Arabidopsis thaliana: one gene and its partners. The protein of the gene in region 2 interacts with the protein of the main gene of each other region in a pairwise test. Each region holds a gene or a part of one and is shown on either strand. Other genes may lie near its edges. The genes, in order: HB21, IAA19, ARF18 and SPT.

Evidence for each region.
Region 1: the proteins of IAA19 (region 2) and HB21 interact in binary tests that used the Arabidopsis thaliana proteins (3 or more experiments, as listed by UniProt).
Region 3: the proteins of IAA19 (region 2) and ARF18 interact in binary tests that used the Arabidopsis thaliana proteins (3 or more experiments, as listed by UniProt).
Region 4: the proteins of IAA19 (region 2) and SPT interact in binary tests that used the Arabidopsis thaliana proteins (3 or more experiments, as listed by UniProt).

What each region holds. Positions count from the first base shown.
Region 1 is NC_003071.7:682,089-689,450, reverse strand, and holds HB21 (homeobox protein 21), read right to left. Parts: upstream 5,817-7,362; 5' UTR 5,621-5,816; intron 5,163-5,620; 5' UTR 5,150-5,162; coding exon 4,217-5,149; 3' UTR 3,955-4,216; downstream 1-3,954. Other genes in the region: AT2G02550 (PIN domain-like family protein), read right to left, coding at 687-854, 1,633-2,067. UniProt on the Arabidopsis thaliana protein: Putative transcription factor.
Region 2 is NC_003074.8:5,260,412-5,267,732, reverse strand, and holds IAA19 (indole-3-acetic acid inducible 19), read right to left. Parts: upstream 3,733-7,321; 5' UTR 3,634-3,732; coding exon 3,225-3,633; intron 2,632-3,224; coding exon 2,538-2,631; intron 2,446-2,537; coding exon 2,355-2,445; 3' UTR 2,038-2,354; downstream 1-2,037. Other genes in the region: AT3G15550 (trichohyalin), read right to left, coding at 1-94, 224-382; AT3G15548 (uncharacterized protein), read right to left, coding at 569-670. UniProt on the Arabidopsis thaliana protein: Aux/IAA proteins are short-lived transcriptional factors that function as repressors of early auxin response genes at low auxin concentrations.
Region 3 is NC_003074.8:22,883,920-22,893,331, reverse strand, and holds ARF18 (auxin response factor 18), read right to left. Parts: upstream 5,444-9,412; 5' UTR 5,162-5,443; coding exon 5,116-5,161; intron 5,065-5,115; exon of another isoform or gene 4,845-5,064; coding exon 4,729-4,844; intron 4,646-4,728; coding exon 4,547-4,645; intron 4,477-4,546; coding exon 4,420-4,476; intron 4,329-4,419; coding exon 4,176-4,328; intron 4,098-4,175; coding exon 4,013-4,097; intron 3,926-4,012; coding exon 3,835-3,925; intron 3,756-3,834; coding exon 3,591-3,755; intron 3,501-3,590; coding exon 3,387-3,500; intron 3,315-3,386; coding exon 3,242-3,314; intron 3,154-3,241; coding exon 2,674-3,153; intron 2,593-2,673; coding exon 2,405-2,592; intron 2,295-2,404; coding exon 2,153-2,294; 3' UTR 1,877-2,152; downstream 1-1,876. Other genes in the region: AT3G61840 (auxin response factor, putative (DUF688)), read right to left, coding at 259-786; AT3G61829 (uncharacterized protein), read left to right, coding at 6,010-6,141; AT3G61826 (uncharacterized protein), read left to right, coding at 6,609-6,701. UniProt on the Arabidopsis thaliana protein: Auxin response factors (ARFs) are transcriptional factors that bind specifically to the DNA sequence 5'-TGTCTC-3' found in the auxin-responsive promoter elements (AuxREs). Could act as transcriptional activator or repressor.
Region 4 is NC_003075.7:17,409,814-17,417,975, forward strand, and holds SPT (basic helix-loop-helix (bHLH) DNA-binding superfamily protein), read left to right. Parts: upstream 1-4,269; 5' UTR 4,270-4,353; coding exon 4,354-4,863; intron 4,864-5,095; coding exon 5,096-5,206; intron 5,207-5,278; coding exon 5,279-5,344; intron 5,345-5,441; coding exon 5,442-5,507; intron 5,508-5,601; coding exon 5,602-5,847; intron 5,848-5,925; coding exon 5,926-5,995; intron 5,996-6,079; coding exon 6,080-6,132; 3' UTR 6,133-6,573; downstream 6,574-8,162. Other genes in the region: NAPRT1 (nicotinate phosphoribosyltransferase 1), read left to right, coding at 7,125-7,279, 7,355-7,499, 7,569-7,688, 7,767-7,901, 7,989-8,050, 8,151-8,162. UniProt on the Arabidopsis thaliana protein: Transcription factor that plays a role in floral organogenesis. Promotes the growth of carpel margins and of pollen tract tissues derived from them.

The DNA of each region.
Region 1 (7,362 bases), on a different chromosome or scaffold from region 2:
TCAATATTTTTGAACGATTAGCAAGTAAAAAATTGTATCACTGAAAGTTTTCAACCTAGGCCAAGTATATGTGGTTTAGTGGTAGGGGAAGCTTTGGGAAGGATGAAACTCTTAGACCCGAGTTCGATTCTCCTTGAAAGTTGGTAAGTGTATAAGTTGGGTCTTGGTTTAATTGGTTTACTTGGTAATTAGAAATGTAGGCGGCCGCCTGACTACCCCCTGGCATTAGTCAGAAAGCATTTCAAACTCGTGACAGACAGACAGTATGGTGGTTTTTCGGGAAGAAGTCCACTCGAAAACATTTCGGTGTGTTTTTACTAGGGCTAACCAGATCAGCCGATAAGGTTTATAAGAAAAAAAAAAAATTGAATCAAAATCATTTGTTAAATGTTCCCGACCCAACGACTACCAAATAAACATGATTTCATTGTCGATAGTCATCGCTAACGATTATAAAGTTAACAAAATATAACTGATTGTCATTGTTGCTAACGACTAAAAAAAACTAAAACCGTAAAATATGGTATAGATGTGAGATTTTTTGTCGAAATTAGACTTCCTTTATTTTGAACTAGAACTTCGAAATTCAAATTATTAGATACTTTTGTCTAAGTAGTTTCTTCGTCATCTGTTTCTTCCACTTCCACGTGTGTAAATTTTTCGTGGGTTTCAGGATTAAGTCTTCCTTATGCTATTTCCTTAGTCTTAGTTGTTGACAAATATGTGCCCGTAGAATCTTCATACTTTCGAATGACAAATTCATCGCCAGACTCACGGTCACGCAAGAATGGAAGGTTAGACACCTCAGGCACATTCAAGTGTTGAAGCTCTTCAATTACTTGATTATAGACATACTAATATTTGAAAAGCAACAAAATTATGAATTTTTTCAGATGAGAAGTTAGGTCAGTGCTGTCCTCTAGTAGTTCCTCTATTACCTGAAAGAAAATGAATAACACACATCATGTCATCATACATGCAAATACAAAATCTAAATGTATAGTATACTACTATTTTGAACTAAACCAAGTAAAAAGTACCTCTCTACCACGTATAGTTTTAGTACCAATTATTTCATATGCTCTTTCGGATCCCTCCGTTAATGGCCATTTAAAATAGTCACAATCGCAAAGAATGCACATCTCCAGAAAATTATCGTCTGTGAATTCTGAAAAATCGTAAGATTTTGCTTCTTCTTTAGTTTCTTTTTCGTTGTCTTTATTTTTCTTGCTACTATGAAACCGCTTCAATAAGTCTATCATTTCGAGTTCAAGCAATTCAAAGTCTTTACTGGCGAAAATAATTTGTGATCACACAAAAGTTTAAAGTGGTAGTAAAAATTAATGTTATGTCTACATGAGAAAAACCTTTAAAATAATAATAATTGATAAGTGTATTAAAGAACTTACTCTTCAACATCTAAATGGTATGAGGTCAGTGTTAATAGTGAGAACCGCATAAACGCTTTTATCTTTATTATTAGCCAAATATACAAGCTGTGAGCAGCAACGATAAACTCAATATTCGGATACTTTTTTTTTTTAAACCTTCAATGGGAGAAAAAAGAAAGGTTAATAAAAAATTAGAAAGAAGTGAAAATTCTTAAAAATAATTATTTACCGTAAATGTTACCTCAATGAAAACATGTATCACATAAGGCGTGATGTGTATATGACTTTGAAAGATCTTAGTAGCATTCTTCTCTTTGTCCTTTCTCTTAGGGTCATCGGGAGCCATAAGTTGTGCTGATGCGTCAAGATCCTTTGCGTATTCTAGAGTTTTTATTGGGTTCCGCGGTGACTTAATAGGTAAACGATGTCCATCGAAAACAAGAATAGGATTCACATTACGGTCGATGAATTGTTTGACTTTTTTGATGACAAACATTATATGTTCAGAGTTGGGTGTAGTTGGTTCCTCCAAGAATTTCCGGGCATTATTTAAAGCACCTCTGTATAACCACATTGAAGCGTCAATTGCGAGAGTTTTACTGTTGAGAGCGGAAAAACTAATTGATTTCAGAACCTTGGATTTTCCATAGAGAGAGTACAAACTTGTGAAGCCCATAGCTTACAATTATTCTTTTTTTTTCTTTTTGAAGCAATAACAAAAAGGAGTGTGTGTCAATATATATAGTGTGATGAAAAGAGTCAAAATTTCCCGTTAGCTATTCCTTTCCATTATTTCTGCTATTTTCATTTTTTCCTAGTTTACATTTTTCTATATTATTATTGTTATATATTTCCATAATTTTGTTTGATTTTGCTGGCCGATTTCATCGTACGGACCTAACCCGGTTCGGTTTGGTTCAACTGTATTTCTATTATATTTTCTGGAAGTTTTTCTATTAACTATAATATATATTAGGTGATCACTCTCGATACGTCGCAGTTTTTTCGGATTCTTTTGTATTGTTTAATTTAAATATAATTTTTATTTATCTAATCATTCACTCATGCAATAAAAAATTATTTCAGTATTAAAATATTTTTTTTCTAACAACATTCTCAATAATGCATCATACACATCATTCATAAACAACGTTCATCTTAAACCAATTTAACAGAGGGTAGTGTTCGTAATTAGAAACATAAGAATTTGATGATGGATCGGAGCTCCGTACGTATTATGTACCCTCGATGATTTATTATATAAATATCAATTTAAAAAATAAACTACTCAAATCATTAACTAATTCACGACTATTATACACTCATACTTTGAGTTTGGATTACAAAAAAATCTTCGAGTATGAAAAAACTATTAAAATAAAATATTTAAATAAATTTATTGAAAAATTTATTGAAAAATCATGTAATATTTAAATAAATTTAGTAATAGTACAGTAAATATGTAAAATAAAATCATATATAAAATTAAATAATAAATTTATCATTAACTTATAAATTAAAAATTGAAAAGTTTACATTAATTATTTAATAGACACATGATAAATGTTAAAGTGATGATGTATCGATCATATGTAAAGAGTTGGATAATTTATATATATATATATATATATATATATATTTTATATTGTTATAGTGCTATAATGCTATGTCAATCTTGAAGGAGATAAAAATATATTTGAATAAAATGACGTTTCAATAACAAAATAATAGTAATGGCAATCAATAAACTATGTCAGTTAATTGAATTTTTATCTTCCACGAAATACGCAATACGCAATTCATTATTGATGTTTTACTGAAATCGAGTGATAAACTATAGGCATAAAAAATTATACTACTATAAAACAACAAGTGAAAATGTTACATTTAATATTACAATAAATGAAACATGTGATATCACAAGGAACAACAACATCTTAAAATCGTAACTCCATTTTGATGCATGACATATTTTATCCCATATCACATTACACGACTTGCAATATGCCAAGAAGTCACATAAAGTAAATGCACATAATTGTTCAAATAAAAGAAAAGGTCCATAAATGAGTTTACTAGTACACCAACCAAACATTTACTCAACCTAATACGTCATACATATTAGGACTTGACTTACACTCGCCAGGACAATCTCCAACTCTCTCCATTGATAGAAATCGTAATTTATTGCTCTCTTTGTTTTCCGTGCAATTTATTTTTCGATCATGAGAATGAAAATATTTTTTCAAACTAGAAAACAAAATAATAGAATCAAAGCAAGACCGGATGTTTAAAAAACAAGACAAATCAAAAAAAAATATTTTGTTAAATCAAAACAACGACAAAAAAGAAACAAGACAAATCAAAACAAGACCGGCGTAAGATTTAGGTAACTAGTATTAATTTTGTTATGGACTTTGTATGATACACTTCCTTTAATAAATATCAGAATTCAAAAAACAAAAACAAAAAGAGTTACCTATGAGAATCTAAAATTCTGCTACTCACATAAATAGTAAACGTGACAAATGATATCACGAACTACAAAGTCTAATGATTCGAAGTAAATAATAACAGTGCACATCCCAATGCATTGGTTAAATCGCCAAGAATTTTCTTAAACATACATTATAAGAAAACATCAAAAACTTATCTTACACGCTCCAAAACCAAGATTATAGGTACCCTAATAAAACACATGTTTATAAAGCTACCTAAACAATGATTAGCCGAGAAAGGAGAAAACATTAACCATACGATAAGAAAGTACTTAATTAATTAAGTAATCACATGAGTGAAGTTATATAACAACAATCTGAACTTAACTAAGGATTAGTAGAAGCAAGATTTTCAGTAATGTCGTTATTACCAGCAGAAAGGTCGACATTGTTACTAACGTTGTTGCTCTTCTTGGAGAGATTTTGTTTGTTGTTGTGCATCCAAACTTTAAGAACTCTTCTCCTAATTCCAATCTCTTGACAAAGCTGTTGAACAACAGATTCCTCTTGTCTCTGAATCTTCCAACCAACTCTTTCCGCAAAACTAATCATCTTCTCCTTTTGCTCTTGTGTAAACTTTGTCCTAAACCTTTTCTTCTGATTATGTCCGTAACTATACGGTGATGGTGGTGGTGGTGGCTGCCGGAATGTCAAGCTTCCTCCGCCTTCTTCCTCCATAAGATCCTCTGACTCTGAGTTGGATCCAGCGGTTGTAACGCCAATAGGCATTATCATTTGTTGTGGTAATGGTGATTTGATCATCTTGTGGTGGAACATGAGTTTTCTCTGCTGCGGAGGTGGTTGGTGGTGGTTGAGGTAAGGGGAAAAGAATGTTTTCTCTTCACCTTCGGTTTCTCTTCTATGAAAGTTTCTATGGCAGTTGCAAACTGAGCAAGTGAGAGCTTCAATGGAACCTTCTTCACCACTTGGCATAAACTCTCCACAACCATCAATGGCATTGCCTCCCATGGTAGCTGCATGGTTCTTTAGGCATTCCTTGTACTTTATCACCACAGGCTTCTCTTTCTTGATGTTGGTAACCATGATGTTGTAACCCACATGATGATGATGAGAATGATCATGATTTTTACCAAGACCATTACTATTTGAGGAGACTAGTAGTGGGTTTGAAGTAGTAATGTTGAGAGATGATGGTGCAGAATTGGCATGATGATGATGGTTCATGTTCCCATGCCCACCTCCACTATTACCATAACTAGTGTTTATTGGAATAGGATCTTCTTGACTTGCAATCTCCATTCTTTTGATCTATCTGCCAAGGAAATAAACACGATTTTATATTTAAAACTTTTTTTGGGTTTTGCAAAGTGTTTCTTGGTTTGGGGACAAAGAAACTAGTTAGGAAGAAAAAAACAAGAGTAAAGATAATTAATGAGTAAAATTCAAATGATTAAGCTACAAAAAGGCAAGAGCTTTCTTCACTACTCATTAACCCCATTTTTTTAATTATTTCCTCCAAACAAAAAGAAAAACCCTAATTTTAGAAGGTCCATAAAGATAGAGAACAAAACGAAAAAGTACAAAAGAAAAGAAAAACTTATTGCAAGCCTGCTTAAGCAAAAGCTGACAAACCCACTTGAGAAAGAAAGGTCTTATTCCAAGTGAGAGGTTGATGATAATCAAGAAGACAATCTTTATTGTATCACCAAAACAAAATTGTTCTATTTAAACCAAATGAAAAAATTGACTGAAGAAGTTAAGAGCACATACCCACAACCAGAAAGAGCAGCAAACTTTATCTCAAAATGAAACCTTTCTTGAGAATAACCACAAGGTTCTGAGAATAGAGAGAGGCTAAGGAGTTTAGAGATTTAATTAGGGTTTTATAAAGTGATAGACTTTGAAGAAAGAAGATAAAGAGAGAGAGAGAGAGAGAGAGAAAGAGAGAATTGCAGGTGGGTTTTGGATGTGAAGGCACTTCTTAAACTAAGGGCTTAGAGTATTAGTAGTGAAAGCCAATAAAGCATGAGAAAGACACATGAGAGCCATAGCCATAGCTAATTATTTCCTCACTTTTCTACAGACAAAGAGAAAAAAGATCATTAATTAATTACACCTAGTTTTCATTTTATTAATTCATATATAGGATATTTTATTCAATAATGTCTCTACCAAATTAAAATTTGGGTGATAATATATAGACAAAAACAATACAATTGTGATCAAAATATGGAAAAGAAAAAGTGTAGCTAAATTATTTGAAACAAAAAAAGCTACATCATTTAATTTAAAATTTGAAGAAACAACAACAATCACTAAATTAGACTTTATAAGATAAGTAGTTATTCATTTTTATATACATTTTTACTCATGAAATGTCATTTTATAATATTGATATATCGCAGTCATTGATGAATTGAAGGTTATATTGAATATAAGACCATCCTCATTCTTCATTGGTGATACTTTGAGGGTGTCTTTAAATTAAAAATAATAGAAAAAGATAATTTAATGTTTTTAATTGTGTAATAGTGTCTTTAGAAAGACATTTTAGATCTCTAAAATAGAAGCTGTCTTTAATTTAATTTTAATTTATTTTTGAGATATCTACAAAGGTATGAGTAATGTGGATGCTCTAAGATTTTCATATTCACCCAAAACAAATTATCAGTAAAGGGAAAGAAAAAAAAGAAGAGAGCCAAGAATTAGGATTATGGGAGATTGCTTGTCTTGCACTATCAGACATCAAATTTACAACAGTGTAGAAACGTGTCAGATAATTAGTGGGAAGAGTATTGAAGTAGATAACAAAGAGAAAGTCATAATAAATAACAATATCTCATCTTTGTTCCAAAACATTAAATAACTAAAAATTTGGTAGTAAGGTATAATAATAATATTTTTTACCATCTTAAAATTTAAAAGTGTGAGATTGATACTAATTCAAAACGAAAGAATGTTCTAAACATTACTATAAAGCCTTAACTTGTTAAGCTAGTTAATTAAAAACACATATTGTTCCTTTACCCTTCGGCCTTCGCCATTAATTATGTCACGTATGATATTAGCTTCAAGAGGTTGTCATGTCATGCTTGTGAATTTATATGATTTACTTGAAGTTACTATTAATTATTGGTCCTACCAAATATGTGCACTTATATACCATGATCATCCGTTTTCTGGAACATACAATTGTGAGAAAGAATCAAAAGATAAACAATAAAATAAAAATATCATAATCAACTGATAATATAGTTACTGAAATATATTCATAAACCAAAGTTTGTTACGAGTTTTGTTAAGACCAAAATCTCGATTATTATTAAGTTTTGATAATATAAAGTTTTTGGTTTATATTGCGGGCTATCAGTGTTGTAAAATTAGACTCTATGTTATAGATGATATATGAACAATTGCTCTTGGGTGGCAGAATTGTAAATTTTGGCCTAAAAGTATATATAGTAAGTCTTGGTAAATAGATTTTTTTTATTGCTTTACATTTTCGACTTAAT
Region 2 (7,321 bases):
ACAAGAGACTGAGGAAGATCTTGGGTTTTGTTGTTGGTCTCGCTTTCGGATCAATCACTGGAAACATCTGATCTACTTCTCTGCATCTCAAGCTCTACAAGACAAACAAACAAAAAAGATAACTTTTGTCATTACAGAGAAGCTACCAGTTATTCCAAAAAAAAAAAAACTCTAATTCTAAACTCAATCTAGGTCTGGCTAAAACATGAATGGATCAAATTACCTCGTTCTGCTGAAGAATGTAGGGCATGAAAGTGAAAGGAGGACCATTTTTGTAAGGAAAAGCATCAAAATCGCGACAGATCTTAGTGTAAGCTCTAGGATAGCCTTGAGCTTCCTCGATCACCAGATCTTCCTCCGTTATACCATAATCGCCCATCATAGTCACGAAGATCAACTATCTCTCTAGATTATTGTGTTTTAACCAAAGAGAAAGCAAAAATAAGCTTTTGGGAGTGTTCTGTTTTCAGACAAGAGAAGAAGATAAAACTCAAACAACGGTCGGATTTTAGTTGAGTTTAACGATGACCATTCATTCCCTTTTTAATAATTTAAATAATAATAACAGCTACTGGGAGAAGAAAAATTTAAAAAGGAGTGCCACGTAAGCATTGAAACGGCCATGTGGGACTGTAACGGCTATATGCCACGTCGGACCCACGCTCTTCATTTATGGAGTAAGTTAGTTTGGTGGCTCTATGATCATCTTTCTTGTGACAAAAAAACTTTGATTACCTACGGATCCTTTTTGAATTTTTAAAATGTGAATCAAAAGGTCTAGTGATTACGAATTTCTTGGGTATTTTTCTTAACTTTTGTTGTTGTTAATAGAGAATATTAAAAACAGAAAGACTTTTTTTAATATAAACTTATGCTTGGAAAAAGTTTGGGCCCCTAAAAATGTGTTTAAATTGTTTTGGGCCTTTTTAAAAATATATTTTGGGTTATTTCTATTATTCTTTGAAAACATCTGAGCCTATTTCCTTCTTGTTTTCTGTAATAGTTTTGGATTCATGGGCTATGGTCTCTCTGTCTCACCATTTGGGTCGGGCCTGAGTAGCACGGCTTTACCAGCGTCGGAAACCTACAGTCAAAAATGACTTAGATAACGTGTTGACATTCCTATGCATTAAAAGTTTAAAACATAAACGCATGTTTGTGGTTTTCAAAATAACGGAAATATTTTAGATAGTAATGTTGACCAAAGTTTAATACAAAGACCTTTGAATATGTGAAAAGCCTTGAAGGCTTGAACGAATCCAAAAGTACGTATAGTGAGTATAGAGTATGTAATCAAAAATAGACTTATTTAGTGTGGTTGATAATGATGATGGTATCGTTAATTTGGGCCAAGAAAAAAGCACAAGTGAGAGGGGATGGGCTGAATCTTTGCTGTTTCTGGTTTGGAACGCACATGGGTAGGTCACAGTTGTAACAAATCATATGGGTTCGTTTCATAATCACATATGTTAATTTTTGTAAATCCAAGTACTAATTTTATTGTACAGAACAACAATATAGAAAAACAAAAACTAGGTTGACATACCGAACATGTCGGTGTTTTCTATAATTGATAGTACTTATGCTATCAAAAGCAAGATGTGCATATCTATAAAAAGAATCATTACAAAAAAAAAAAAAAAAATGAAGAATAAGCTTAAATCTTTAAATTAAGCAATCTTAACTTTGAATGTGAAATTACGATTATGAATTAACTAATTTCTTCGGAGGTATACGAATATTTGGAATAAAAACTTACTAGTAAAAATCTTATAGTACTAATAAATTATACAAGCATAACTCTAAGAGAAAAAAAAGGAAGAATGAATTCTTTGTTTTTATCTTACACTTATATACTTATGAAAACATCTATTTAGATTTGTGATGTCACTTACTGAAGTAGAAGTAAAAACTAACGAATGTTTTACGTAGACTTTTTTTATAAATATCTATTTAGATTTGCTTATAATATCCATATTTTTTCCAAAACACAGGTATACATAACATATCAACAATGAAAGATTCAAATAATAATTATTATTTTTTAAAAAGATGAAATAATGGATACTTATTACATATGTTTCTACACACATATATAGATCCGAAATAACAATAAATTTTGAAACAGATTAATGTTTTAACTCAACACTCAAGAAACAAGTAGTGTATATATATATAGCTGTCTTTCTGAAGATAATTATGCAAAACCATAACATGAAATTTTGTTGCAAAATAATATACTATAACATATATATTTATATAACATGAATAGGAAAAATGTTCTAAAGGATCTTGATGATCAAGTTTAAGATTAAATTAATGAACCAGCTCCTTGCTTCTTGTTCAAGTCATCATCACTCGTCTACTCCTCTAGGCTGCAGCCCAAACCCGGTAGCATCCGATCTTTTCATTATTCTCAACCTCTTGCATGACTCTAGAAACATCCTGCAAATCAAAATATCCAAACTCATTTACTTTAGTTTGTGATACATTTTCTTTTTGTAGTGAGATATCTTAAGTCAAAAGATAGAACATACCCCCAAGGTACATCACCGGCGAGCATCCAGTCTCCATCTTTGTCTTCGTATATGGTAACGTATTCGCAGTTGTCACCATCTTTCAAGGCCACACCTGCACAAATATGTATATATGTAAATTTAAAATTGTGTTGATAATATGGCGAATTCGGTATATAGAAAAGTCTAATTAACAATACAACTATACAAGTGGTGCATAAATTCTGATTTTTAGAAATTACGGATATGTAGTAACCGAAACCTCTAATTTTCTATGATAGATAATTTTCAGATAATTCAAAACAGTTTGGAGAAAAATAACCAGTTAAATTAGGACTAGTCTTAAGTCTCTAAGAACAAGTAAATAAATTTCCTGAGATGACTAATAAAAATCTCGACATATTTGTCCTTTCATAACACTTTAAATTAAAATCTATAACATTGCTACCACAATCAGTTCAACTGCTAACCAAAATTCTAACTATATTTGTATTAGTGTTGTCATTGTATCATAAATTGGGGTGTTGGTTTGGTTGTAGACATAAAAAGAAAGAACAGCACTAAACTATACTACTCCATTACGTCTACAAGACTACAACACTCTAAGTTCTTAATCGGACGTCTTGTAAACTATATATAATTAGTTGTTTTCCACATGATCTAATTACCACTCTACTTTTATGGGAAGAGAACATAATTGTTACTAACCGATGCCACGGAAACCGAAGAGCTTATCAAGAGCAAAGGCTAGATCATCATAGCCTTGGCTCGAACCAAGATCCATCTTCCTCAAATAAGGCACACCATCCATGCTCACTTTCACATACCCTAACCCCACTTTCGTGGTCGAAGCTTCCTTACAGCTGTTTTTCTTCCGGTAAGAACAAACCGGTGGCCACCCCACCACCTGGCTTTTCGCCGCCGGCGAATCATTAACCTTCTCAGCGTCACCACCAGATGAAACGACGCCGCTTTCACATTGATCACTATTACTACCCGACGACGTCATATTCATCTCCGTGAAAGCTCTCTTCTTCATCATCTTCTCTGCCACATCTCTCCCCGGAAGCCCCAATCTCAGCTCCGTTATCTCAAGCCCGAGTCCTTCCTTCTCCATTTCTTGAACTTCTTTTTTTCCTCTCACAATTTGATACAATTATGAAATGAGAACTTTCTTCTCCTACACTTCTCTTATTGTAGTAATGGCACCGCGTCGTGCTTTTTATATGTTGCTTCGTTGGTCCACACGATACAACCAATGAAAACCAATCCAATATCGACACGTGGAGTCATTTGATATCTAAAGTCTTCTTCTTCTTGTTATTCAGTTTGTGTGGGGAGACAAAGTGGGGGCAGAGACAGGTCAACTGAGGATGCGGTGGTCGGTCACATGAGAGACATAAGTTTGGTGCTGTTTTTATTTTTTTCTCAAAATTAATAAAGACCGGCATTACAAGGTGGTTAAGGGAACAGATCCTACGGTTGTGAAATTTTCTTCTGATTTTTCTCTGACCGTTGGATCATTGGAATCCGAATCTCCTTCTCCTAACATCCCATGTGTTTTTTTTTTGTAAAGATTCTTGTTCTAACTAGTATATCACAGAATCACAACTATAGTATACTTTTTCTTCAATAAGTTCATGTTATTTAGTTATTTTATAGTGAAAATAAATAAATAAAACTATAGTCTATTTGTTTGCATTTCTAATAAGAGGATGGGAATATTAAATCAAATCCTACCATTTTGGGATATGTTCGTTTATCTCTCTTTGCATCAGTTTTTTTGGATTGGCTTGTATATAACTAACAACATTTAGCTTAATAGTAAGATATTCCAGCAATGATTTTGATTGGTCACCGCTTTAATCTCACATGGAGAATATAAACCAGATATACAAAATTTGTATGGATCAGAATCAAATATAGTACCGAGTTTAGTTTTGGAATGTGACAAATAGTTACAAAGTAAAAACGTATATTCTAGTATGTTTTGGGTTCAGGTTTGAGTTTTAATCAAATCATATCCATAATTTATAAGAATATAACTACCTTCTCAAGTATTGGGTTGAATTTTACTTAGGGATTCAATTATATACATGCTCTAATCAAATTAGAATTTGGTTCGACTTTTAGATCAGTTTTTTTTTTTTTTTGTTTTTTGAATATCATATCATATGGATTGAATTTGTACTAATTTATAACTATTTAAATCTTCTTTGCAACATCCTGGTAAACCAAATTCCCAAAGAAATATATAGTCAATGGCAACACCTCTCAACTTAGACTAACAAGAGGATGTATTGTAATCTTAAGTTAGAGCTGTTTATGATACTCATCTCCAAAGTTAGTCTCGAACCAATGACTTCAAGCGGAGTATAACTAGTTTCGAATAGGTTCAAACTAAGCCAGACCCGCATTGTTGGGTAGTTGTTAACTATCTCTAGCTCAGCATACCAATAAAACACAAGAAGTATAATGATGGGGTTTAGAGGACGTAGGGACACGAGAATAGAAAAAAAGATCGACCGTGTGTATGTGTGTGAGTGTGTGTGGGTTCACTCTTGTCTACCAACTTTGATCAATGGATTGACAGAAACAAGTTGGGCCACGTGAAATTATATGAAATACAACCACATAAAGAGATTAAGTTCCATACTCCCATATCTCTAGTTTACCTTTAATGTTTCCAAAGGCTACCAAACGACATTTGTAGCACCAAATATTTATAAATTCCATTTTTACAAATTTTGAGTGGGAGCAGTGTTTGGTTTTCATCTCAAACGCACAACTGTCATCCTTTAAAAAAAACGTTTGTTTTATCAATAAACAAATATAATTTGATCAAAAATTTCATCCGAAGCCCCTTTTTCACCATGAAATTGGTCCATAGTTTATTTATGCACTAATGATACGATGAGCATAATATATGATGCTTGCAATTTGGAAAAACGCCGTTCAACTGGAAATTCAGGTAGTCTAAATAGAATTATTTCCTGACAGCAATAATATAAGGCTATTTTGATTTATTTATTTTTAATATCCAGAAATTTCATGTGCTTCTACTCGAGTTTTGATAGGAAAACTTTTAAAGTGATTGTGACATGTCTCATGTTTCTTATACGTTAGGTCGTTATCCACGATTCTCTTGCTTATGTTTTCGGTTAGTTAATAAAATATTACAAGTCTCAAGGATCATAATTATGTTCTAAATCCTTTATACATTATTCACAATACGTATCTTTCAAAAAGAATCAATGAAGGTATAATTTTTAATCAAATTGACGACCAAATAAAAGTTAAACTACAAGCATGTTCCCACGTCCATAAGCAGCATAAACTAAATTATGAAACTGCAAACGAATATTTTAATTATTGTCAGTATTTTTTTAAGTTTTATGTAAAGCACATAAATTACATGTGTACTGGGAGAATCAGGTGAATATCTGGTTAAGCATGAAGGGAAATTAAAAACCAATCTTTACCGGAATAGTTTCAGGCAACAGTAATAAGTGATGACAGAAAAAGAAGGCTCTCCTATGTAGAAATACTGAAATGGTTACTGTTAATGAAAAATATTGATTCATAAGGACTTTTAGTTAAGTCAAAATTTAGAACTCTCAATAACTAGTGAGCCCTAAGCCGTATGCTATTTCATAGGTTCTGTAACGTTTTAGTTTATAGTTTATGTAACGTTTAGATTGCGAATAACTTTTCCGTTTTTAAATTGTGTTAGTCATTTTCATTAATAAATATTAGTAATAACTTTTGATTCTTCTCGACTCCAAAATATACAATTTTAAAATGTTCAATAAACTTTTTAACAATTATAAAACATTGTCCGACAAATAGGCAACAAGCTATAAAAGGAAAGCACGAGTGTTTAGCGGACGCATTAGTCGAGTAAATATTTATTTAACTTGGATATTATTTCTTTATCATAAGAATAGTCGTCGGATGTTAAGGAGAAAGTAAAACAAATGAACGGCGTCAGATACAGAAAATCTGTTTAAAGTATGCCAAAGTAAAACTATAGGGTTTGGTTCGATATCTTGTTGGGCTTTCGATTCGGTAGCTTCTAACCCAATCTTCCGACATATGGCCCGTTTCTGCGGATATATTAAACATTATTTTTCTCCTAGTAAAACATTTTGCCGTTCAGAAAACCATGATACATGTGAAGTTGTAAATAAATCTATAGCACGAAATAAGATCTAAAATACTCTTGATCTTCGTCAAATCCGATGCGAAGGAACGCTTTTTTTGTTTCGAAGAGTCTATCGAGCCACTCTCTGGTCGTTAAAACTAAAACAAAAAAAAAATGATTTGTTTACATCAAAGAATTGTATACATAAAAAATGTTGAATGATAGTTAAAATTGATGTTTACAAATTTAGTTTAAATACTTACCTCGTGGTTCATTAGCAGCTTCCCACCAGATTTTGGACACACTGAGCAATATAAACACGGTCAAAAATACAAAATACAAGAGTTTAGTAGCCATTACTTAGTTTAAGATAAATATGAAGAGAATTGACGAGACAAGTTGATTTGTTACAACATCATTATATATGATTATTGGCCACGTCAAAACTAATTTGGTCCTTACATTTGCCCCTCAAGACACGATAGAAAGACTTATTATTCATATTTTTGTCACATACGAAGACTTACTTATGTCCTAACGTTTTACCCCTTAATCCCCGTTGAAAAAATTATTTAGATTTTTTGTCAATTGGACCCAACTTTACTTCTACAAATAGCGCGTTTAGAGATATGCATGTAAAGACTATTGTGATATGAGTTAA
Region 3 (9,412 bases), about 18 Mb from region 2:
AAAATAATTTGACAATTATTAAGGTGTTGGGCCAGTATATAGACTAAGAAAAGCCCATAATTGAGTAAGTATGGTCCATACAAGTAAACGACGGCGTATTGTTTTGTATTATTTTTTTAAAAAGCTCTCACAGAAGCTTTCATTTTCAGCTTCTTGTTCTTCCATGGAACTTCGTGCAAAACAAAAGAAGATACAAACATGTTCTTTCTGACAAGACAAGAGAATTTTTTTTTTAAAGAAATAGAATGAAGTTTAAGGTTAATTTACCCAGAAGTAACACCTAGTGACGTAAGAGAAACAATGGAGACCTTTTGTTCTTGTGGTCTTGGTATCATCTTCATCTTCCGATGGATAAATATAACTTCCACTTCCGGCCACATAAGCATCACCATCTCTCTCTTTCTTCCACCGGAACCACCGTTTCCACCCGGCGAGATAACGACCATGATTCGCTGTCCGAGGCATTTTGGTAAATTCGTCAGGAAAGAGCATCCTCGGTGGCAAATCAAGACACTTGGAGTAAGAAGGATGACGAACATGGTGTTTAGGCTTGCCAGGTTCTTCTTCCCATGAGAAAGGAATCGAAGCGCGAGAGAGTGAATCATCAGGGGACGACATGAGTGACAATGACACGTCTTTAGTCGTTACCGGTGATGATAAGTATTGTAGCCTTCTCGATTTCGCGGCTAATACATGTTGAAGTTTCGATGTGATGATTATCATCGTCTCATTATCGTCTGCGTCAAAACTTGTATCTTTCTTGTTCTTTTTTTGGGTTTTAACCATATCTCTTTCTTGTTTCTGCTTATTATGATTCGTTTGAAGAAGAAGACAATGGATTAAATATATGTAATTGTCATTGAAGATGCAACGCTGTTTAACTATAACCATTCCTCGAACTGAAAGTCAAACCCGTACTCTTTGGTTGAGGAAAATTAGTCAGATTTAATTCGACTACAACTAAAACTACGATCGTGTTTAATTTTGTTTTCTGTCACCTATTAATTTCTTAGTATATGTATGAAAATTTAAGTTTTGTTTGATTTTATATTAATGGAGTACGATATTTGTAGCTCATACTTTGAGTATGATGGTCCTATGGATGTTCGTTTTGTATGATTTGTTCGGACTGAAACTTTATATCATTTATAAAGGTAGAAATGTTTTTACAAATCTTTTATCCAAACAGAAAAATGTTTTTTTTTTTTTTCTATACTACAGCTCCAAAATCTATTCAGTTTAGTTAGCTTGAGGCTTTTTTGGTTTTTGTCAAAGTAAAACAATTTCTCCATACCAAAAACAATTAATCTTTAGCAAAAAAAAAACAGTTGCTCCATACTACATAAGTACATAACCACCACCAAACCAATACTAAGTTTGAAAATAATTGTATTGTTTTCTTCTTCATTATAAGGCAAATCTGAATTAAAAGTTTAAAACAATATTTTTTTTTTTGACAAATATCAACTACAGTATACACTTCATATGTGACTTTATCCGAAAACAAAATAGATTTTCTTTCTTTTGTCATTTGCATTTTATTAAAGAAAAATCTGATGCAGCTAAAAGGTTTGGAAATTAAAACTTAAGAATTTTTATAGAGAACATCATGGAGACTTATTTTTGGCACGATAACATGAACTTCCAAAGTTTAGTTTTCATTTTTTTCGATTTCAGTTCAATTTTCTAATAACACTATATCCTAGAAGTTCATTAATCCACAAATATTTTTACCAACTCCAAAAGAGAATCTTAACTAGTCGTTTGACTCCTTTACTTTTCCATGACTTTCATATGATGCCCGCCGCGTTGATTTCCACGCCTTCACGTATTTTGTATTCTTCTCTAATACTGTAGTTTTTTTTTTTTTAAGCCTTAATTATTGATTAGAAATATAATCTTTGAACCCATAACTAATTGAATGTACTTGGTTTTGAAAATTGAATGGTTATGGAACAAGTACATACACATAAAAGATGTAAAACCGCCCCATCAACCACTGTCCCAAAACCGAAATATTAAATCGCCAACTTGAAAAATTGACATGAAAAAGAGGACAAGACTTTATATACACAGACTAAAAAAAAAGTCTTTAGACACTTACGCACTAAAACGACGTCGCCGAATTAACCTTAATTAACAGCTAAAACTCTCACCCCCTACTACGATTTTCGAATGATTCATTACCATATTCCTCATTCTCTAACGACGAAGAAATCTTCAGTTTCGTTGTCATTTTCTTAACCTCATCGCTCGAATATATAAATATCTTCTTTGCCATCTTGCAAAACTCACTGCACAATCCCACACAACAGAACATTGCAAAATCAGTTCCGGTTTAAGTTCACATTTAACTGATTTGAGCTAAACCGGAAATGTTTAACTCTGTTATTTTAGAACTTACTTCCACGGATCATCACCAGCAAGCATCATATCTCCTTCATCATCAGTGAAGACAACGATCCATTTGTCTCGGGCAAGAAGCTGTCCTTGAATCTCAAACATCTCCTCAAGCTCATCAATCAGTTCATCGTAAGATTTCAACAGTGTTAAATCAACCGCACGACCAACCGCAATGCCTTGCATTTGCACCTTTTTCAATCCAAGATCAAAGAAATCAGATTTTCAAAACATTGTTGCTATGTTATTATATGAGTTGATAAAGAAAATTACTTTAGTTCGACTTCTTGATGTTTGTTGCTTCTTCTGCTCACTCATTGAGGTTGGAGTGATGGGTTCTTGACACTTGGCAGCTCCACAAGTATCCATCGGTTGCTTGTCTTGAGGGATTGGAGCAGGAGAATTGCTTGTGAGATCAAATCCAAACAACCTATAGCTACAATTCGTTGGAGGAGGAGGAGTCTCGGGTTTGAAGCTGTTGTTTGAGGAGTATCCACCTGAAATTCTCTCAAGTGATGGATCTTGAAACAGTTTAAGGGATGCATTAATGGAATCTTGGCTCTGAGGGAGGCTGTACAAGAAACTAGGTGGGGCTGGTGTTTTAACTGATGGCTCGATGGGTCTTGACCGCTTGCATTTCGATTGTGGTTGTTGAGCAGGAGTTGAAATTGGGGAAGTTGCCAAGAAAGGCTCTATCTCCCATGGTGAGACTTTATCTGGTCTCTGAACTGTTGTTGGCTCATCCCATTGTACCTAAGAAAGACCAAGACAAAAACGTTATATAAAGACCACGTAATAAGTAAAACACTAAAATGTAAGAACGTGGAATGGTTAACTGAACCTGCAATGACCTCCATTTAGAAGCTGGCCATTGTGAAGATAGATCTCCACTTCCCACAATCGTACCAGTAAATCTGAAGACGTTCCAGGTTTCAGAATCAAGAACACTGACAAAAAAGAAATGATCAGAGAAAATGGATTCTTACATTCTCTCAGGAGACTCTTCTCCTTCAAACCTCATTCTGAATCGGGTACCGAGAGAAAATCCATGCTTTATAGCTTCCATATACTTGTTCACCCCAACTATGAATTGGCTTATCCTGCAAAGAGAGAAAACTTTTCTTCAATCAAAGAGTCCTAAACCATCTATGTATATAAAGCAAAATCATCTAAAGAACATTACTATATACCTAGGCTTGTAAAAGACAACAAAGATTGTTGTTGTACGCACAGCATGAGAAGCTGTAGCAAGAACTCCCAAATGCATGCTCTGACTTGAAATAACCGAAGTAGGCATTGTGCTTTGATGCCGAGCTAATCGTCTCACTCCAACCCGTAAATCCCCATTCTCACCCCTGAAAAACACAAAGGCATTACATTTAGGTTCATGAAACTAAACAAGACCAGTGAATAAAGTTTCAATTTCAAAAGTACCTCAAGAACACAAAAGCATCTCCAGCTACAAGTCTTTTCGAGGATACAAATGTACTCCAACCCGTAGTAAGCAAATGCCTCCGTGGTTGTCCTAAACCAAAAACGGCACTCAATGAGTCAATGTCTCATTTAGTCCAAACACAGTTTCACAAAAACACACCAAGATTAGAATCAATACCTCTGAATATATGCTTAAACCTCCATTCAAAGCCATGAAGATCTCTAGTCACAAGTTCTTGAGTAGGAGTAGCTTGTGTCATATCCTAAAAAGTGTAAAATTGGAGTGAGAATTCAAGCTAAAGTTTCTTGAATTGAGAAGGTTTCTTTAAGAATATATTTACCAAAGAAGGCAAGCATTCAGTGGCGTGTTTACGAAGAACAGAGAATCCACCATGAGTGCTTGTATCTGAAGCCGTTAAAATCTTAACAAACGAATGAAACTCTTGCTTAGTTGGTCCAACAATAGGTGGATCAAGACTTGTTGGTTCACTTTGCTGCAAACAAAACAGTAAATTGAAATCAATTCCAATCAATATAAATTAACACTCACTGAAATAAAGTTGAGTTTTTTTTTTAAGAACTTACATCTTCCTCTGGTTGTAATGTGATCTGAGCGTAAACCTCATCTGTTTCATGCTCCGCCTATAAATCAAAATTTAGTTAACAGATTCAGGGGAAATAAAACATTTTAACATTTATGATCCAACTTTACCTTTAAAGTGACATCAAGAACTCGACAAAGTATCTTTGGAGGAAGATCAAAAACAGGTATTTCTTCTGAATTGATTCCTTGATTAGTTGACGCCACAAGCTGCAAAAAAACCCAGAATTTAGAAAGAGAATGGAAAAAGAAAAATTGGGGTAAAAAGAGATGATTTTTGGGTGGGTATATACTTGTTCCATGTGACCCTGAGGGAAGTAGAAAACTCTCTCTTGAGCACGAGGAACTTCCACTAATGGACCTGCACAAACTTTCCATAGCTCTGTGTATAGTTGATCTTGATAAGACCCTAAAATCAAACAACAACAAAACCCTAACAGTCACATTTCCGCGGCAAAACTATAACAAAAATGTGAACTTTGAAGCTATACGAGAAAAATAAGAAAGTTGGGGTTTTTTCTATTTCTTTCTAAGCTCGTCTCCCGAGAAAATGAAAGAAAAAAAAATCGAAACTTTACAAAGCTGATTTTGATTCTACAGAGTAAAACCCCAAACAGAGTCACTGTTAGAAACAAAAAAAAAAACAAAACTTTCTAAAGTCTCAGCCTTTTACTACTCACTTGACGAAGAACTTCCGAAATCATCATCACCTTCAACACTCGCCATTGAAGAACCCAGATGAGAACTGGAGAAGAAGAAGTAGAAGGAGAGGAAATGAAAGAAAATAGAAAGAAAAAAAAACCTTCACGCGGTAAACACTAGTCTTAACCCCATGAAAGAAACACGAGAGAGAGAAGAAAGAAAAGACCCATCAATGGAGAAAATAAAAAAAGCAAAACTTTATAAACAGGACACAACGGACGGTTATGTCCGTATTGATTGCAGAACGTAATTCAGGCACTGTTGGATAAAACTAAATCTCTCCCCTTTTTTTTTCCGTCAGCCACGAAACCGATCTCTCTCTCTCTTCCTCTTAAAATCTTTTTTTTTTTTTGTCTTCTCCTTTCCTTTCAGATTCCGTGTTGTTTTGCTTCAACAATCACAAACTTCTCGCCGTTTTTATCCCGATCCGCAGCAAACCAAAGCTGCTTCCTTTACTGAAGAAGTCTCACAGTATCATGCACATACATATATTCACACTCTCTCCTTCTTTATCTCTCTCTATATATCAAAATATAGAGAGACTTTCTCTTAGTTCAGATCCTGGAGACCTGTCATTTCCACCCACAGTAACTTCAGTTGAATCTCCCTATTTTTCTATTCATTTAATTAAATGTTTTCTAAAATTGTTGTTTTTTGTTTTATCATGTCATCGCTAAAAAGGAAACTCAAATATATTAAATGCGCTAAAATAAAACAAATTGTATTCAAAGGCAAACGAAGGGTCACGCGGCGTTTTGGGAATTGCTTATGAACTAATTACATTTTATTATGTAAAAAAAAAACGTACGGTGCATTTAAAGGAGAGGGCAAATCTCAGCCGTCCGATCAAGACGATAGTAATAAATAAGCTTATGACTTTACTCTATATCCCTAAATTGCCCTTTTTACTGATGACCCCGTTGCCGTTAGCACTTGACGGTGCCGTTACCCACATCGTCTTGTGTCTGGATCGTGGCAGGCAAACGTGTCGGCTTCTCTATTAAACCCCGGCCACATTTTCTTTTTTCCGTTATTTTTTTTTTTTGTGTAACATCAGATAGATTGTTTTTTCCGTTACAGATTTAATTTTTATTTAACACTGTGGAATGTGAGTTAATTACACATTATGCCATTGATCGTTTTTTTTATTTAGGACCCACAAAGGCTATGGCTACACCCACACTCGCACAAGGTCACAGCCATGACTCTTTATGGGACGAGCGTCTTGGGAAGCGTGTGAGTTTTATGTTACCACGTGCCGAGTCAGTTCTGAGTCGCTGGTGTTCATGCTGTATTCTTTTTTTTCTTTCACGCGCTTTTAATCTTAGCAAATCAAAAATCGAAATTATTTGAAAAATTCATGTTTACGGATTTCATATAATTATCGTTAATTGCTTTTATAGAAGGAACTTTTGAAACGTCAAATTTAAAAAATTAAATCGGATAGAGGTGGGAGACACGCGCTTAGTAAATGAGAATGGTGAAGAAGAGTGATAAAAAGTTGAGAAAGCCATGCCGAAGTGTCGGAGGAGAAAGTGGTCCCCACATGGACACGTCAGAGTAAGAGAAATTGCCACGCTGTTTAGTCGTATTCATGACCGACACGTGTCAAATGCTGACTTGTCCTACCAATTTTGCTCATTTACAGAGGAAATTCTATCGCTATTTTTCTTATTTTATTTTATTTTTCCCAATGATAGTGAAGAAAGACTATGATCCAAAAATATTATTGCGTTTTGATTTGTGTACACCCTTGTATTTAATAAAATTTGCAACACGAATCAATGTTGGCTTGTAACCACCCGATGAGACTAATGCTATCACTCGATACTATTTGGGTTTCAAAATCTTTTTTATAGCTTAAGATTTACCTAGAAAACGTCGACGATATTACATAGCCTTACCACTCTTTTTTACTTACAAGTTTGTATAATCATAAGTTCATAGTATTTTTATGTTACCATATACGAGTATTTATTTCCACTCAAAGTTATAGTGTAGACTGTAGAGTTCTCTCGCTAATTACATAAGGCCTACAAATGTGTGTTGTTGATAGTGAAACACTATTACAACATTCAAGCTTCGTTGATGAAGATTATGTGGCCGCGTTACAAGACGAAATATAGATGTGATGTATTATTGATTGGAATCATATATAGTCTCACTTCTCTAACTAGCTGATAGAGGGGTAAAAAAAACTTTTTTGAATCCCACCCAACAAAAAAATAATTAAAATAGTGCATATGATTATTGTACGGACAAATCCTTGCAAAGCGGAGACGAGATATGAAAGAATCGAATTTCATCACCAAAGGTTGAACTAAAGAGTGAAACATAATTTTAGAAAAGGTAATAGGATGATATTACCATAAATATAACGGAATTAAAATAAATTTAACAATGATTCTTATCCTGCATGAGATTTCATGCTTGCATATCTCTCACAATAATATACACCTAAAGATGATGCCAAATTTGAACGTCATTTTAGTTGCGTTCGTTTTTCTTGGGTGAAAATTTGAATATCTTTTTTTAATTCAATGACTAATTTAACGAGCTGCTGCGGATATTCTCTCTAGTTGAAATTATTTATACACACAAAAGGTTCAAATAGTAAAATAAATAAATAGGATTACGAATATGATCATTCAAAGTGAATATGAACGCATGGATGGGAATAAATAACTATACATTAGTTAAGTATTTTTATTTTTAAATTGCGTAGTGGTTTAGTGGAATCCATTCCACAAAATCTTTTAATTTTGTTTATTCTTCTTAATCACTGTTATATTCCATTGATATATTTGATAATATACTTAATCACCTGTTTAGTCATAGTCACCACGTCATTTTACAAGAATATAGGAATATTTGTATTACTTATATTTATATATTGAACTAATCGACAGTATTCATTTGTTATGAATTGTAAAAAGAGAAGGAAAAGTTGTGGAAAAATACCAACATGGTCCTATCTTCTACTATAAGGTTATGGTTATCAACAGTACACTACTTATCATTGCAGAAAGATTAAGAAGTACTAATCAAACCAATATGTTTAGATTGTTTTAAGAACCAAATTTCTTGCTTAGGTTGATAACCCAGTCAAGCAAATAACATTTGATTCCAACTGTCGTATTTACCTTCAACCTCTTGCAATAATTGAACTTTCAAACTTTCCACAAACCAAACTTATTTTGTACAATTTTACTATTTGACCGTACACCACATTTCGTCCCTGTCTTCCATTATGCCTAATTGCTTATAACGAGTATACAATATACGTAACATCAGAAATTTGTAGAGTTTTATATAAGCAGAAACTTATTTATTGTTTTCTTTTGATTTTGGTGGAGCCTTAACAAGAGCATTTTAGGGGTAATTATTTTAATAAATCTTAGCATAGGTCTTGTTAGACAATAGTAAACAATAATTTTAAGCTGTGCTAAAATCATAAAAACGACTCTTCCCTCCACTTAAAGGGTAAGGTGTCTTAAAACTCTAAGTTTGCTAATGACCAATAATTATGATTATCTTTATAGTCAATAATACTAATCTACAAATTAAAAGCTCTCTATGCGTATGCCCCATGCGGTATGCATCGGATCCGTTGATTCGATTAGGGTAAGTAATCAGATCCTTCCTTGTTTCCATACGTAACAGGGAAATGTTTTCCTTTTGATGAAATTAAATTATGAAAGCATTACGTGCAAAAAAAACTTAAAAAGTATTTGAAAAAAAAAACTATTTTTGTACTATACAATTACTTAAAATTTTAGTAGTTTGTATTAGTGATATCCATGTCTCGCCATTCGGATTCAAACTTTTATATTCCATGTTATTAATTAAATAACAAAACTAATTAGCACGACATGTATATATAATCGTAAAATACAGGCATGTGTGTATATTTAACATGTTTACAGTTTATTTGGCTCAAATGATTACGTTTTTTTTTTTAAATGTCTTTTTTGTACTCCGTATGATTACAGTTTATTTGGAACATAAGATATGATCATTACTTTTGTAGTATATATCGATAAGGTTATTTGTTCTTTATTTTCTCAACAATATATAGGTTGATATAATTTTCAATATATAGGTTATCGATATAGGTTGATAAATATTAGCCACAAATTCATTGAAAAAAAAAAAATAGCCATAAATATTTTGTAGAAATTTCATACGTATTATTATCCATTCGTTATAGATCAGATTAATTATTTGCTCAAATCTGATGGTTCATAGTGTATACACACAAAAAAAAAGAGAAAA
Region 4 (8,162 bases), on a different chromosome or scaffold from region 2:
ATTTATGTTTAACGTATTTTATGAGAATTTATTGCGAAATCATAGATCTCAGGATTGCAATTGCTAATCTATGGATGATAAGTCAAATCTAGGCTTATTCCCAAGAAATTGTGTCTGCGCTTTTGTGGATTTGTATAGTTTGATTTCATCACGTTATTGAAGAAAACAATTCAATAAAATGACAGGACTTATGGTAGACCGTGATAATTAAAGCGAAGTCTCAGCTTTTTCGTTTTTGTGAGAAGAAAACCTTAAAACCTTTTCAATTAATAAGAGAAAATGACTTGTCATCGTTTGAACAAAATGGGCCTATTAGTTAAGGCCCACTTTGTTTAAACATGTTAACCCTACACAATGTTATGAACGTAGTCTGTGAAAAGTATTTTAAGTTTACTATATCCATTTAAAAGCCCATTTGTAAAATCTTGTTTTCTCCTTGAATGTTCTGATAGTTGTTGGACCTAGCCCATAACAGCTTTGGACAGTTTTTAATGAAAATGTTACCAAATTAGATATTTACATTTTTAAACTTTGTGTGATTGATATTTTTTTCTTTCTGGTTTGCTTTATGAGTTCGTTATTCATATCTTTTAGTAGTAAGAAGATTCTTCTGACAAAACTAAAAATTCTTCCACTGTCTCAAGTACGCGTGTGACCAACGCGCATAGAACTTGAGCGTAGAACACAGAGAGTCAAAGTGATAGGATTGTTGTACTTCGCGAAAAGAAGAAGAAGATTTTTATAGAGTGCGTATCGAAACTAAAGTACAACAACAACTCAGCTTTATTTAGACCGTCCGATCATTACTAAACTTTGTACCAATCAACTAATGAATTAACGACACGTGTGTTTTATACTCTTCTTGGGAATACTCTAAAAGGACGATGTCACACCAGATCCTAGCACCTTCCCACCATCTTCTTCTCAATCTCTCGTGAGTTTCCCACCGTCAGATCAATGCTTAGGTTTGTGACGTAAGCTTCTTATTTTTTTGCGCATCTCTAGGCTCTCCTCTCTATCCACTTGCTTATCCAACCGTCCGATCTGTGATTTTTTTTTTTGTTGGAAAAAATATAACTACAATATCGTCTTTATGGTCCATTCTATATGTTCTTGATACATTAGCGTGTGCTCGAAATTTTCTTTCTATCGATCATAACAATATAACAACTCTCCAATCTGGTTATGTGTATAGCTTTTGTTTTTGATTTTTTTATATTACGATTTTGATATAAGAAGTAGATAGACCAAATGAAAACTTCATATCCATCGATTTGGCATGGTGATATCGGTTTCAGTTCTTTTGTATTGATTGTTTGTGAAGAAAATTGAATTTGACTCTATTAAACCTTTTTTTGTTTTTTTTTTGGTTTTGATTACCATTGGTTAAAGCAGAGATTCAACGTTAGACGGATTTATCTCGACACAACTCTAATTCAGTTTGACCGGACTGAACACTTTTATCAATATTAATGTTGAGTTGTTGACCTATATATTATTGTAATAATGAATAAACAACGCCATGATTGCGTACTATCTATCAGACTTTATAGAGTAACTACTTTGATTAACCATTACATTTTGTTTTTATGAGAATGTTTTCAGTTATATATCTTTATCAACACAGTTGAAACCTGTTCTTCTATGTTAAAGCCTTTGAATTTGAGTAATTTTACTTTTGATAGCTAGCCTTTTTAAAATGAATGATTATATTGTTAGGTTCCAAGTGGGGAGTTGTCTTGGGGATCTCATTTGACGTGTGATCTTGAATTTTTGATAGAGATCCTAATGATCTCGTGGTCCCTCTCGCAGAGTTTATGTAACCATCTAATATATAACTTCATGTCTGGATATGGAGAATCCAAAACTTAAGAAATGCACGTATTAGCATTCGTAGTTGTATATATGTTATGTATTTTGCGTCAAATGCAGAACAAAATAAAGCAAGAAGAGACCAACAATCTTCATATGGAGAATTGTAAATTGTCCAAATCAGCAATATATAGATGTCTTGAACAATAAAAAGATAACCGAGTTTAACATTAGACCAAAAAAAAAGAAAGATAACCGCTACAGAATTTGTGACGAAAAGAAAAAAGCTTTGGAGAAAAAAACAGAGTAAGAACTGTTTTTGTTGTGTGAGAAGAGTTTGTCCTTAGGTCGCATAATCTTTTAGGATGTAGTTATATGTGTTAAGTGTAACACATGCATATCATTTACTTCTGCAATATATCTCTTCTGGAGTTTCGTAAGGTACTTATGGTTGGTTTGTCTTCGAAACTACCAACGAACAACTTAAAAAACATTGATCTTTTTAATAGCGTGAGTTTGATTTATGTTATCCTTGTTATGGTGCATATGTATTACGGAAACTTTGGTCTGTTTTAGATGGGTAAATAGTTGTATATGAGTAAATATGATATTGCCAGTGTTTTATATAAAGAAAAAGGGAAACGATGATAAAAGGTGAAAAAGAAGTTTAGGATCATCTTTGTTTTTTATTTTGTTTTCCGACTTTCAAATCAGACAAGACAACGAGGTATGGGTCTTTTAACATACAGAGACTCAACTTGAAAATTCTATCAAACCACCAATTAAAAAACCAGAGAAAACATTCAACTATCTTCTTAGAATCTAGACAAAATAAAAAGTGTATCATGCTGATTTTGAACAAATTATTAAAGAGATCTCAACCATCGTTTCATTAATATCTTTGACAATTCTAGAAGCCGTAGTAAATCTTGTCTTTTTATGTGTATATCTTGTTGAATTTGATAAGGATATTCAAAATAATGAGATATGTATGTTGAGTAATTGAGTAAAATCAGATCCCTTGTTTAATTTGACGATTAAACGCTTTTTTCATTATTTTTTTTCGCATTTTGTTGTGTATGTTCTCAATTACAAATTCCACTATAAGCATTTGGACTCTACAATGTCACTTTCTAATTCTGATATTTAATAAAACAATTATTTTGTATATGTATAAATAGTACCAGAAAAACGAACTTAATAAAATAATTGAATCAAAAGCAGATGCTGAACAAATAGCTGCAGCTTTTAGCAATTGTCTCCCATATGCTTTTCCTTTGTTTCAAAAATTGTATATACGAGGTTAAGTGAATGTTGCAATGAAATAAATGATGCAGTTTGTGCATTCATCAAGCGAACAAGTACGATTGATGTTTTCAGTGCAAAAACTAAAATAAAATACTACTAACAACTATATAGTGTAAATATATATAACTTTAACTTCTTTTTTTTTAAGTCTTCATACGCTGCGAACGATCAAAATATATTTACAAATTTACGACCAATATTTTAAAAATACTTCATTAAAGAATTGATGCTGCTGTCTGCACAGTTGAGAACGCAATTGGAAACTTTCGTGCATTCACTTTGTTCGCCGCAAATTGGATATGTGAACGTGGTCATCATTATTTATAGAATTATTCTATAAAACTTACTATAAAACACTAGATATAAAGCTGGATCATATAAAATGAATTTACTAAAAATTCGATAGTTAATTATAGCAGATGTTATGTTCCAATTTGAAAGCATACGAACGAGGTATATAGTTGAAAACACACACCGTAAAGTTAATAATTTTCACAACACAAGAACAAATCAAAGTCGCAAGTAATTTAACGCATGTCAGTAGCATGGGCTTCTTATATACTAGTCAATAGAATAAACTAGCAAACAAGCAACTAATGTATTCTTGTTTATCACGCCACGGGTTACAATATCATACAAAATTTGAATACTAATTAATGGTAACAAGTAAAAAAACAAATTACTAGAAATGGAAATACTTTTGTCAAACAACCAAGACGTATAACTTTCGTTTTCTATAGATTAATGGACTTCTTAAAAATCTCTCCATCAGATTAAACTTTGAGATATACAAATACAGTTTTTGTTTTCTTCTAAATGATATGAATATTAACTTTATCGATTTCATCCGTAGCAGATTTCCATTTTAAATAATAAACTATGAGAAAACAGATAAAGGTTGTATATTATTTGTTACCCCAAAAAAAAAAAAAACTAACTACGAGTAGTAGTTTAGTGTGTCTCACGTGCGACGAGGAAAAGTTTTGGGAGAGTAAAAACATTTAATATTTACGACTAGTTTGAAAAACCGTGAGCTGACACAAGCTCATTGCTAATGCTACAGTAACAGCTACCTTCACTTTTAACTAAATGACAGACCAATCATTTTAACCTCTGTTTTCTTAGCTGGCGCGTGACAGACACTCTCCCTCTCTCCATGCCCATAAAATCTCAAAGACTGTTTAAAAAAAAAAATGTTTTAGCTTTAACTGCTTTTTTTTTGTTGTTGGTGTAATGATATCACAGAGAGAAGAAAGAGAAGAGAAGAAGCAGAGAGTGATGGGAGATAAGAAATTGATTTCATCTTCTTCTTCTTCCTCGGTTTACGATACTCGTATCAATCATCATCTTCATCATCCTCCGTCTTCTTCCGACGAAATCTCTCAGTTTCTCCGGCATATTTTCGACCGTTCTTCTCCTTTACCTTCTTACTACTCCCCGGCGACGACTACAACGACGGCGTCTTTGATTGGTGTGCACGGGAGCGGTGACCCACATGCAGATAACTCGAGAAGTCTCGTTTCTCATCATCCACCGTCAGATTCTGTGCTTATGTCGAAACGTGTCGGAGATTTCTCTGAGGTTTTAATCGGCGGAGGATCAGGCTCAGCCGCCGCGTGTTTTGGTTTCTCCGGTGGTGGTAATAATAACAACGTTCAAGGAAATAGCTCTGGGACTCGAGTATCGTCTTCTTCCGTTGGAGCTAGTGGCAACGAGACAGATGAGTATGACTGTGAAAGCGAGGTTTTTTCTCAATCTCTGTTTTTTATCTTTTGCATGTTTTAAAAGTTGATTCTTTGTCTCTTTCCCGAGAAAATGTTTCTACAGAGATTTCTCTTTAACGGATCTGTACTTTATTTTCCCCCTTAAAATCCGCAATTTTTTTGGTTGTGATTTTGAGTGAAGTTTTGTCATTTGTGAGTGTAATAATGAATGCACACCGAGTGTTTGATAATTTGCTTCAATGAAAATACAGGAAGGAGGAGAAGCTGTAGTTGATGAAGCTCCCTCTTCCAAGTCAGGTCCTTCTTCTCGTAGTTCATCTAAAAGATGCAGAGCTGCTGAAGTTCATAATCTCTCTGAGAAGGTTTGGTTTAGAGTCTCTCCCAAAAGTAGAAACTTTCTTATTTGAGATTTATGTTTATCTTTCTTGTAACAGAGGAGGAGAAGTAGAATTAATGAAAAAATGAAAGCTTTACAAAGTCTCATCCCTAATTCAAATAAGGTAATGATACTATATATAGAGAGACATCTACATGAATCATTCTATTTTCTGTAGATTCTTTTTGTGTCTGATTATTGCAATGTGTTTATTGGGGAAGACGGATAAGGCTTCAATGCTTGATGAAGCCATTGAGTATCTGAAACAGCTTCAGCTCCAAGTTCAGGTCACTAAAGATACCTTATGTTTATCATTATAACCAAAATCCTAAAACCAGTCTATATTCTGACATAAGTCTTTTTTTGTTCTGATATTTGCAGATGTTGACTATGAGAAATGGAATAAACTTGCATCCTTTGTGTTTACCTGGAACTACATTACACCCATTGCAACTCTCTCAGATTCGACCCCCTGAAGCAACCAATGATCCTCTGCTTAATCATACCAATCAGTTTGCTTCGACTTCTAATGCACCGGAAATGATCAATACTGTGGCTTCTTCATACGCTTTGGAACCTTCTATTCGCAGTCACTTTGGACCTTTCCCTCTCCTTACTTCACCCGTGGTGCGTAGTTGAATTACACATTTTTCATTCTATAACCATAAAGCTAGTTTGCTTACTAATTTTTTTTTGTTACTTAAGGAGATGAGTCGGGAAGGTGGGTTAACTCATCCAAGGTTGAACATTGGTCATTCCAACGCAAACATAACCGGTAAAGTCTTGTTGTTTTGGAATCCTAAGGAAGTTTTAGGACATTTACAATGTTAATAACGTTACGATATTTGGGGATTTGCAGGGGAACAAGCTCTGTTTGATGGACAACCTGACCTAAAAGATCGAATTACTTGAACAGTGTCCCAACTTCGGGATCTCTATGTGTTCTTGTTTCTTAGAACGCAAGCCATAAAGCTGTCTGACAATGGAGATGCATTTAACTGTCTTTATTTTTTCTAAGGTTCTATTTAAAATCAATTGTTGGTGACACGAATTCTAGAGTCTAATCTTTTGGATCTAATAGCTATATATAAAAAGGACTGAAATTTTATTACAAAGTAATTGACTAATTGTTAGATTGTTGTATGTTTATGGTGGATGTAAATTTTCTAGATCATCTTCGTATTGTATTTGAGAGTTTGATACTCGATGGCTTTGGATATGTAAATTACCCCGATAAGCTTCTAGAGAAGTTTTCGATTCTACAAGATGGATTTGGTATCTTTAAGGTTGACCATGTTCTTTTGGTATCTCTTGTTCTCAAATTGATCATTTACAATACAATTTTTTAAAATCTTTTACCCTTCACATTTTTGTACTTACATTTGGTATATTAGTAATTTCATTTGTAAGTGTCTTTTAAAAGTTTTTCATTTATAAGTGTTGTTTTAAGATCTTTTATGATAATTAAAAAATGCTTAAATATCTTATTAACCCTTAATTAGTATACTTATAGCTTTAGTTCTCCAATTAATCTTTAGTAAGTAAAAGGGACAGAGCTAGAACTTTATTTAAAATTGGATTGAAAATACATAAATCTTATATTTTTTTCAAAAACTAGTATTGAACATACAATTTATTTATTTTATTTTATTTGTAAAACAACAATAAAAGTAAAATCATACAACGATATATTTTGAAAAAAGGAAAAGTAATTAGGATTCTCTTTCGGTGAAAATATCAGAGAACAAAATATATTTGAATGCGACTGTAGTTGAAACTTGAAAAAAATTTAGATACTAAAGTTTCGTCATTCTCTTTTTGTTAAAGACTCAGTGACGACCCTCTCCTAAAAAACACTCATAAATAAACTCGCTGGAGACGCCGGAACCAAAAACAGAGTTCTAATGGAGAAGAAAGAAAATGGTCTCGATGGAAAGCAATCGGGTCGGGTCATTAACGGACCCACTAACCCGATGGTCACACCTCTGCTCAACGATCTTTACCAATTCACCATGGCTTATGCTTATTGGAAAGCTGGCAAACAATCTGAGCGATCTGTGTTAGTATTCTTCAAAATTTACAAAAAAGTTCGATCCTTTGAATCCACACTGTAAAATCTCATCTTTGTTTTCAGGTTTGATCTGTATTTTCGTAAGAATCCTTTTGGTGGAGAATACACTATCTTTGCTGGTTTAGAAGAATGCATCAAATTTCTCGCTAATTTCAATTTGACTGATGAAGAGATCGATTTCGTTCGTGATTCGTTACCTGGATGTGAGGTATAACACAATCTCTCTTGCCAAAAGATTCGATTTTTGGCATTGTTTTTTAACTCTTTTAAAAATCAGGAAGCTTTCTGTGATTATCTTCGAGGGCTTGATTGTTCTGACATTGAAGTGTATGCCATTTCGGAAGGATCAGTTGTTTTTCCTAAAGTTCCTTTACTCAGAATCGAAGGTCCTGTTGCTGTGAGTTCTTATTATCTATCTCTAACTCTCATAATTGGAATGATCAGTTTCTGATTCCTCTTGTGCTTCTTTACTTAGGTGGTGCAATTGTTGGAAACTCCATTCCTCAATCTCATCAATTACGCATCTTTGGTTGCTACAAATGCAGCAAGACATCGGTTTGTTGCAGGAAAATCTAAGCTTCTGCTTGAGTTTGGTGCTAGAAGAGCTCAGGTTTGTTTCCCTCTCAAAACCTGTTCTATGTTTAGCCTTAGATGTTGAGGTTTTGTTTGTTGCATCTCTGATATGCAATTGTTATAGGGACCCGATGGTGCAATAAGCGCATCAAAGTATTGCTACCTTGGAGGTTTTGATGCAACAAGGTATGTCTTTACTAGTGATATTTTTGTTTTGTTATGGAAACATCAAAAGGGAAGAGAGGATATGATTTTCTCATTTTGCTTGCTTTGTTTATTACTGCAGTAATGTTGCAGC